Linked DNA regions of Drosophila melanogaster. The protein of the gene in region 1 purifies or fractionates together with the protein of each later gene. This does not show direct contact. Each region holds a gene or a part of one and is shown in the gene's direction. Other genes may lie near its edges.

Region 1 (4,496 bases):
TGACGCCATGCTCCTTTGACACCAGGCGACCTCGGAGTTCCTAGAAAATTTAACTGATTTCAGTAATCTCGCCGAAAAGATTAGTCGAAATACCCAAAGTGAATACATTTTATTAATAGGTTATTTTGTTATTAACTTCATTTTTACGCTTCCTGTCCTGTGGACTTACCCGCAATTCCAGCTGATCGATGCTCTTCTGGCTTTTGAGGATTATATCCCGGGAGCTTTGGCGTCGCAATAGCTGAGCTGTGTTGGCCATGATTGTGTTTTATTATTATTTCAATTTATTACAGGGTATTTTTAGATGTACGAGTGGGTGCTGTTGGGTGCGGGTATGTGTGTGGGTGCCTAAAAGTGCTCTAAGTCCGTGCTTCCGCTTCTCGAATTGTCCTTTGATTTCACTTTCCTCGGCGCCACCTAGTGTTGCGTTGGTGTAACTAGCAACTCATTGGACATTTTTCGTAGCATACTTTTTTGGTTGGATGTATAAATCGCGCATTATTATTATCCCCTTGCTGCGCGTTCAGTTAACTTTTAGCTTATTGTTTTTTTCTTTTCTTTTCTATGGCTTGGTGGTGCTTTTGTTAGTGCTTAATTGCAGGTGATAACGGTGCATTAGTAGTAGACGCCATCGCAGTGCCGCTGGCTGCTTTTTCTAGTGGAATACGTATTACTAATAACTGTACTTAGCATGCATGCACAGAGGAAAATGGGAATGGAAAATGAATTCAGTTAAAAAAAAATATATATATATATATATTTTGAAAAGTAATATATATAAAATCTATTTCAAAAACAAATTTAGAATTTTTAATTACTTAATCGCTGAAATGATTGTTGACAACCGTTTATAACGAAAATGTGCTATTTAATTGATTTCTTAAACATAATCAATAAAGAGAACAACAGTTCTCTGAATTTAGATACGGATATTTGAACATATGTCTATTGCCGCTTATAAACAATTTTAAATAGCTGGTTTTTTTTTTGACCGTGTGCTTTCCATCAATCAAATCATGCAAAAGGAAAAACCCACACCACAGCAGGACATGTGCGTGGTTTGCGTGTCTAGGTCCACACAATAAATCAATCAAAATGAGTCCTGCCCAACAAACCCACCGCCCACTGAACACTTTCCGCCCACTTACTAATGCAGCTTAATGGAATTCACTTTCTTTTTGGCCCTGCAATTAGTGTAGGCTGTGTTTCCCAGGGCGATGGATGTACGGGAAAATAACTTTACAACGCTGCCATGGAGACCTACAATTATTACTCTATATGAGCATGCTATTTGGGTTACTGATTTTGGGAAACTTCGACGTGCAGAGAGCATTACTTTTGTATGTGGCCTTCTGAAAGACGATTTATATTCGTTTAGACTGGCTTTTTTATTTGCTCACTGAAATCTCACTTATATAACCGAAGCAAACACTCGCGAAAAATTGAAGTCGCACTTAAACAAACAGCAAGGTAAGGAAGGGAGTCCAACAAAGGGGAGCGATGGGCGCGAGGGCTATTGTTCGATTATCCTTGGATTAACAGTTGCAGGTGGTTGCATTAAAACCTATTTAAAGGACGATTCCGTCGCTCCTTTCGCTATCCCGTGATTCTGATTGGGATAACGTAACGCTGTGTCGTAACGGGACGTTGGCAGGAAACTGTTGAGCAGCAAAAGGACGTAATAGCCGAATGGCAGGACGAAAAGGATAGCGGTTAACGGGGGAGGCGACAGCGGGAGAGCAAGGAAGCAAAAAGAAAAGAGTAGCGCAGACGCGGCACGCGGCACGCGAATCCAAAAGAGAGGGAAGATGGTAAACAAAAGAGGGAGAAACATAATGCGAAAAAAAATTCACATTTTCGACGAAATCAGCTATTTTGTATTTTACCATCTCTAAGGCCCAAAATCAAGTAACTCAATTTTAAGATATATCGAATTATTCATTTGATTGATTACGCCAATTGCAACATTCAATTCAAGTGCCGTTAGAAAAAAAAGCGTTAGTGATTTTTCAAAAAATGAACTGGTCATCAGAAAGTGTTATCGATGTTGAACTTCGTGTTAGCAGTGATTGCAATTCACATAGTGACAAAAACTAATGGAAAAAATATTCAAAACCACAAACCATACAAACTTTTAATTGGGAAATGTGTGTGTCAGTAAAATGATTTAATTGCCACAATGAAATTAATATAATGAAAGCCATACTGTGACTGCCTCAATGCGAATTTGTGTTCATCTCTGAAATGAACTAGCGGTGAACTAGCCGTCCTAATGAACACTTGCCGACATACCCTCTCATAAATTGTTTATGATTTCGATACGTGAACGGGGAATTGCGTGGATTCATAGAAACGATGGTGTTCAAGTGCCAGGAGGACAGTTTCCTGAAGGAGGTGAGCCCTCAAATGAAGCGCAAAGTACCAAATTACATAATTTGTGATATAATTTGCGGCAGTTCAAGACAAAAATCGTTAGCAGCGAGTTTGCCACCTTGGATTGGACAGATCCCAGTGGAAAGGTGGAGAAACTCAAGGGCTTCAATGTGATCTGCGAGGACACGATACTATTTCCCGAGGGCGGTGGTCAGCCCTGCGATTACGGAACCTTAGGCGGATTTCCAGTTAAGAATGTCCAGAGAAAAGGCTCTACGGCTGTACATTTTGTGGAATCCCCAACGAGTTTCGAGCAGGATGCCGAAGTCCTTCTGACACTAGACTACCAAAGAAGACTGGATCACATGCAACAGCACTCAGGACAGCACCTGATCACCGCCCTGTTCGACAGGGAGTTCAAGTACGATACCACCTCGTGGTCCCTGGGATCCACTGTCTCTTACATTCAATTAAGTACGCCTCATTTGATAAGTCGCGAGTCATTGGACCTCATCGAACGTCAGGCCAACGATCTGATTCGCGAGGGCCGTGAAGTTACGGTGCTTCTGGTGGATCCCGAGGTGGCGCAAGAGTTCCAGGATGCCAGAGCTCCCAGGGGATTGCCCAAGGATCACGAGGGTCTGGCCAGGGTGGTGCGAATCGAGGGCATTGAGAGCAACATGTGCTGCGGCACCCACGTCACGAATCTCTCTCAACTGCAGTGCATTAAGCTGCTCTACGCCGAGAAGGTGAAGGCGAATGTTCTGGTGCACTTTGTCGTCGGCGAGAGGGTGCTCGTAAAGCTTGGCGAGGTCTTTCAGCGCGAACAGCAGCTAACACAGGCTTTAAAGTGAGACTCTCAAGGATGTGGGCCAATTGTCTGTAAATAATCATCTGCATTTCACAGAGGTGGACCCGGTCAGCACTTGGAGCTTGTCCAGAAGCTACAGCAAAATGTGAAGGGCAGTCGAAAGTACTTCCAGCAGCTGCTTAAACGTTACGCCACCGCCGAAGCCGAGCGTCTCTGCGATTTGCCCAAAAAGGATCGTCCGAAATATTTCTCTCTCCATCGACGCGATGGCATCGAGGTGGACTTCATCAACACATTCTTGCGGGCGGCTCCGGAAGGAATCTTCTACTTTCTCACTGTTTCCGAGAGCGTTTTTGCTGGCAGCAGTGCCAAAGGACATCTGGTGCTGCGCGGAGATCCAGAAATTGTCGGGAAACTCGGTCCCCAATTTATGGAAATTCTCGAGGGCAAGGGAAACGGCAAAGAGGACAATTTCCAGGGAAAAATCAACAACTTGGCTAGACTGCAGGAATGCCAAGAGCTGCTGGAGGCGGAGTTTAAACCAAAGAGGATCATCGAAGCCGCTCCTGCAAATGGAGCTCAACTGGAGGCAGAGGAATGAAGTATTTTTGTAGTGTTCGAATATACAATATTTGTATGCGCTACGAAAATTCATAAAATAAATATTGCCTAGTTTTATAACAAATAGTTAGCCATATCGTAATCCGATGAGAAAGAAGTAAACACATGTTCATGTACTAAAAACATACATATATTGGTATATTCTCCCTCGATTGACTTAAGCAGCAAACACGGTCTTAAGGATAACGAAAGCGTTAAGCTTTGTGGTGTGGGATCACAGGTAGTTGACATCATAGTTGCGCATCTTCCATTTGAGTCGCCAGTATTGATTCCAAAATCCCACATCGATGATCCGTTCGTGGAAGTTGAAGACGCCCACGTTGGTATATTCACAGATGGCCGGATAGGTGCAGTCGTCCTCGTCGTATAGATCCACCCAAAGGATCGTGCAGATGCCGAGAGAAAGGAGACGCAGTTTCTTTTGATTGATCGCCCTCTCCAAGGTTAGCAGATAGTCGGCGGACACGGGATTCTGAAGTTCTACCGGCACTGTGATCATTCGATTTGTGGCACCCCTTAGCAGAGTCATAAAGGCCTCCTCGCCGGGATTCTTCAGATTGGCTTGGTACATGAACAGCATTCCCGTTCCATAGAGAAGCGCCTTTTTCGGCTTCGTGTAGGATTCTCGCACAACACCCACTGCCACCTCTGTGTAGTCCCTGACCAGGCCGTTCCAATACTGCACCCACTT
Region 2 (4,496 bases), about 12 Mb from region 1:
TGAAACATTTTTTAAATGTCATTTTGCATGTAAGCCACCACAACGAAAAATCTAATTAGAAATAAATAAAAGTGTTACAAATTGGAAGTGATTACAATACTATCGATTGTACTGCTTTGAAGTCTCTAGTTGTCTTTCCCCCATCTGGTCACACTTGCCATCTGATTTCTTCGATTCGCCTAACTTTAAGCGTGCTTGGATTTGTGCCGATTCCTATTGATTTATTTTGCCGAGCTAAGAAAATCTCTGTTTAATTGCGACACGCGATGGCTTCGATTAGCTTGCTGAACCCCAAGGCCGAGTTTGCCCGCGCCGCCCAGGCTCTGGCCATCAATATCAGTGCCGCCAAGGGACTGCAGGATGTGATGCGCACCAATTTGGGACCCAAGGGCACCGTTAAGATGTAAGTTACTAAAACCGGCCTCTAATATCCCTCACTTTGCGTTCCATTAGCAATTTGAGTGAGAATGCTAGTTTATAGGCGAAAAAACAAACGTTTTGGTCACAGCTGCGGCAACTGCAAGTTTGAGGTTAGACTGGAACTAGCGGCATGCGTCATCGCAAAAGAAAGAAAGAGAATGTTGCAACTCTGGAGCAAAAAGCTTAGAATTTAGGTGTTTTTATTTAATTTCAAAAAGAATCTTAAATGAAAGATGCCCCCAGAGGCTTTAATTTATTCATAAATGTGTGTTTACCTGCATATCCAGCACCGGGTGATTCAGAAAGTGGCATCGAAAGAGGCGTGACTTGACTCACGCGCCGTGAAAAGTGAAACAAGCATACTAATTCTAGAAACTTCGCAGGTTGGTTTCTGGCGCCGGCGACATCAAGATCACCAAGGATGGCAATGTCCTGCTGCACGAAATGCAGATCCAACATCCGACTGCCTCTATGATTGCCAGGGCCAGCACGGCCCAGGATGATTCCACCGGCGATGGAACCACCACCACTGTGATGCTTATTGGCGAGCTCCTGAAGCAGGCCGATATCTATCTGTCCGAGGGACTGCATCCTCGCATCATGACCGATGGATTCGAGAAGGCACGCGACAAGGCATTGGAGGTGCTCGACCAGGTCAAGGTGCCCGTGGAGATCAACAAGAAGAACCTGGTGGAGGTGGCCAACACAAGTCTGAAGACCAAGGTGCATCCCGCCCTTGCCGATCTGCTTACGGACGTCTGCGTGAATGCCGTGCTGACCATTGCCAGTGCCGATAAGACCAAGCCCGTGGACCTCCACATGGTGGAGCTGATGGAGATGCAGCACAAATCCGATACCGATACACAGCTGGTGCGTGGACTAGTCATGGACCATGGTGCTCGCCACCCGGACATGCCGAAGCGTTTGGAGAATGCCTACATCCTTACGGCCAATGTCTCGCTGGAGTACGAGAAGGCCGAGGTCAACTCTGGCTTCTTCTACAAGACCGCCGAGGAGCGTGAGGCCTTTGTGCGCGCCGAGCGCGAATTCATCGACCAGCGTGTGAAGAAGGTGATCGAATTGAAGCGCTCCGTGTGCGATGGCACCGACAAAACCTTCGTCCTGATCAACCAGAAGGGCATCGACCCCATCTCGCTGGACGCCCTGGCCAAGGAGGGCATCCTGGCCTTGCGTCGCGCCAAGCGCCGCAACATGGAGCGTCTGTCTTTGGCCTGCGGTGGCACTGCAATGAACTCCTTTGACGATCTGCAGGAGGAGCACTTGGGATACGCCGGTGTGGTGTACGAGCATGTTCTGGGCGAGAACAAGTACACTTTCGTTGAGGACTGCAAGAACCCGCTGTCCGTCACGATCCTGATCAAGGGTCCCAACAAGCACACGATCACCCAGATCAAGGACGCCATCAGGGACGGTCTGCGTGCCATCAACAACACCATTGCCGATAAGGCTCTGGTGCCCGGAGCTGGAGCATTCGAGGTGCGCGCGTACAACGAGCTGGTCGCCTTCAAGGACACCATCAAGGGCAAGTCCCGCCTGGCAGTGCAGGCCTTTGCCGATGCCCTGCTGGTCATTCCCAAGACGCTGGCCGTGAACAGCGGCTACGATGCCCAGGACACAATCGTCAAGCTGACTGTTGAGGATCGCCTGAGTCCCGAACTGGTCGGCCTGGATCTGGCCACCGGGGAGCCCATGAAGCCCGTGGATCTGGGCGTCTACGACAACTACATCGTTAAGAAGCAGATCCTCAACTCCTGTTCGATCATTGCCAGCAACCTGCTTCTCGTCGACGAGGTGATGCGTGCGGGCATGACGAGCCTCAAGGGCTAGTCCCCATCATTTCATCCGACCCATTCAATTTAACCAAGTTAATGCACCGCATGCTACTCAACCCGCGTCTCTCAAAGCCACACACAACCAAAAGAAAACTAAACACGTAAATAATTTGGAAACACATGAAATCGGAATGGTTGCGGCTGCAAGTATTCACATTTAAAATACAATTCTAATAAATACAAAAACCAAACACAGCTCTATGCTTAACGCTAATGTATTTTCTATTTTTATTAACACTAATGTTTACTCACTACAAACTTTCATTGGTTTAAAAATAAATGGAAATAGCGATTTAGCCGTGACTCAAACCTCAATATGGGCGGTAATTGGGGAATACCCACAACTACATTTTTTGGGGCCACATGGTATATTTGAAGAGTCCACTGGGTGGTCACACCGCAGTCAACAGTTGTCGCTTTCGCTGGAAAGCAGCTGAAAACAAGTGAATTTCTGAATTAAAAACATTTTCAAACATGTTTTCGGTTACTTGTGTGGCGCCCGTAAACATAGCGCTCATCAAATATTGTGGGTAAATTAATACATATATTATAAGCACATAAACTTATGCACATGCATTCCTTTAAAGGGGGAAAGCGGCACGAAGAGCTAATTCTGCCCGTCAATGATTCCATTAGCATGACTCTGAGCACCGATGAGGTAAATATGAAAGATATTTAAATATTTATTTGCGTTTTAAAACCAACAAATTGTAATTAAAAAATTAAAAAACCTTAGACGCTTTTAATAATGGTTTAAGTTTAAAGTGCGCGTAGTCGAAGTTTTCATTTTCTCACAAATGTAAATATTACGAAAACTTTCTATTTAATTTGGGAAGATCTCACGGATTTTCACTTTTCACCGATTCTCTCTCTTTCGATTTGTGTGGACACTGAATTTGCTTAAGATTAAAATGAAATTACTAACTTAAAAAAAATGGGTTTTTGAATATGGGTTGTTCGAAATCCTGTAATTTCTAACTTATTTTTTGAAATAGCAATCTATCGAGACTTTTAAAATCTTGAACAATTACCTTTCTTGATCCCATCTCCCAAGCTCTGCGCCAAGACAACAGTGACTGCATCGGAATCCTTTGAAACGAATCGCATGTGGCTGAATGGGGAGGAGGTGCCTTTTGAAGAGAGTTCCCGCCTGCAGCGCTGTTTGAATGAAGGCGAGTTTATAGTTATATATATAAAAGTATAGAACTTTAATGTAAAAAATGCACTTGCAGTTCATCGATTGGCTGTGGCGAGTGGCTCCCAGAAGGTTCCGCCAACCTGGAAGCTGCACATCGCATCGGTAAACAATTTCCCCACCGCCGCCGGACTGGCATCCAGTGCAGCTGGCTACGCCTGCCTGGTGTACTCCCTGTCCCGACTCTACGATATACCGCTGAATGAGGAGCTGACGACGGTGGCGCGGCAAGGAAGTGGATCGGCATGTCGCAGTCTGTATGGCGGTTTTGTGCAGTGGCATCGCGGAGCTCTGGATGATGGCAGCGATTCGGTGGCGAGGCAAATAGCTCCATCCGACCACTGGCCCAACATGCATGTGCTCATCCTGGTCGTTAACGATGCACGCAAGAAGACTGCCTCGACAAGGGGCATGCAACAGGCGGTGAAGACGTCTCAGTTGATCAAACATCGCGTGGATCAAGTGGTTCCCGACCGGATTATCCGATTGAGGGAGGCCATCGCAAGCCATGACTTTCAGGCATTCGCCGAGATAACGATGAAGGACTCGAATCAGTTCCATGCCATCGCCCTGGACACCTATCCGCCGTGTGTCTACATGAACGATGTGTCGCACAGTATCGTGTCCTTCGTTCACGATTATAACGAACGAATGGGTAGCTATCATGCCGCGTACACCTTCGATGCTGGTCCAAATGCATGCCTCTATGTCCTGGCGGAGCACGTTCCGCATCTCTTGAGCGCTATCCAAAAGGTGTTCCCCAATGATTTAGCGGATGGTGGCACCTACTTGCGAGGCCTTCCCATTCCAAAAGTGCAAGATGCTGAGAGCAGCAAGTTGGATTCACTAGATGTTCATGCTAAAAATGCTTTCAGATATATAATCCACACGAAAGTCGGTGAAGGACCAAAAGAATTAAGCGCTGATAATAGTTTATTGATAAATGGACTTCCGCTGAAGTGATGAGAGTGATTTTGAGAGTGAATTGCATAGGGAAAGGCACAGAAATTCTATAAAGGAAATATTTT

The links.
Region 2: the proteins of CG10802 (region 1) and Mvd purify together in Drosophila melanogaster (affinity purification with mass spectrometry, with the first as the bait; one large-scale study listed by BioGRID). This does not show direct contact.

What each region holds. Positions count from the first base shown.
Region 1 is NC_004354.4:3,480,690-3,485,185, forward strand, and holds CG10802 (uncharacterized protein), read left to right. Parts: upstream 1-2,275; 5' UTR 2,276-2,355; coding exon 2,356-2,394; intron 2,395-2,456; coding exon 2,457-3,223; intron 3,224-3,280; coding exon 3,281-3,785; 3' UTR 3,786-3,866; downstream 3,867-4,496. Other genes in the region: CG10804 (uncharacterized protein), read right to left, coding at 1-40, 170-259; CG14270 (uncharacterized protein), read right to left, coding at 4,020-4,496.
Region 2 is NC_004354.4:15,746,505-15,751,000, forward strand, and holds the start of Mvd (mevalonate diphosphate decarboxylase), read left to right. Parts: upstream 1-2,661; 5' UTR 2,662-2,747; coding exon 2,748-2,799; intron 2,800-2,860; coding exon 2,861-2,931; intron 2,932-3,327; coding exon 3,328-3,445; intron 3,446-3,505; coding exon 3,506-4,431; 3' UTR 4,432-4,496. Other genes in the region: CCT6 (chaperonin containing TCP1 subunit 6), read left to right, coding at 267-403, 804-2,268.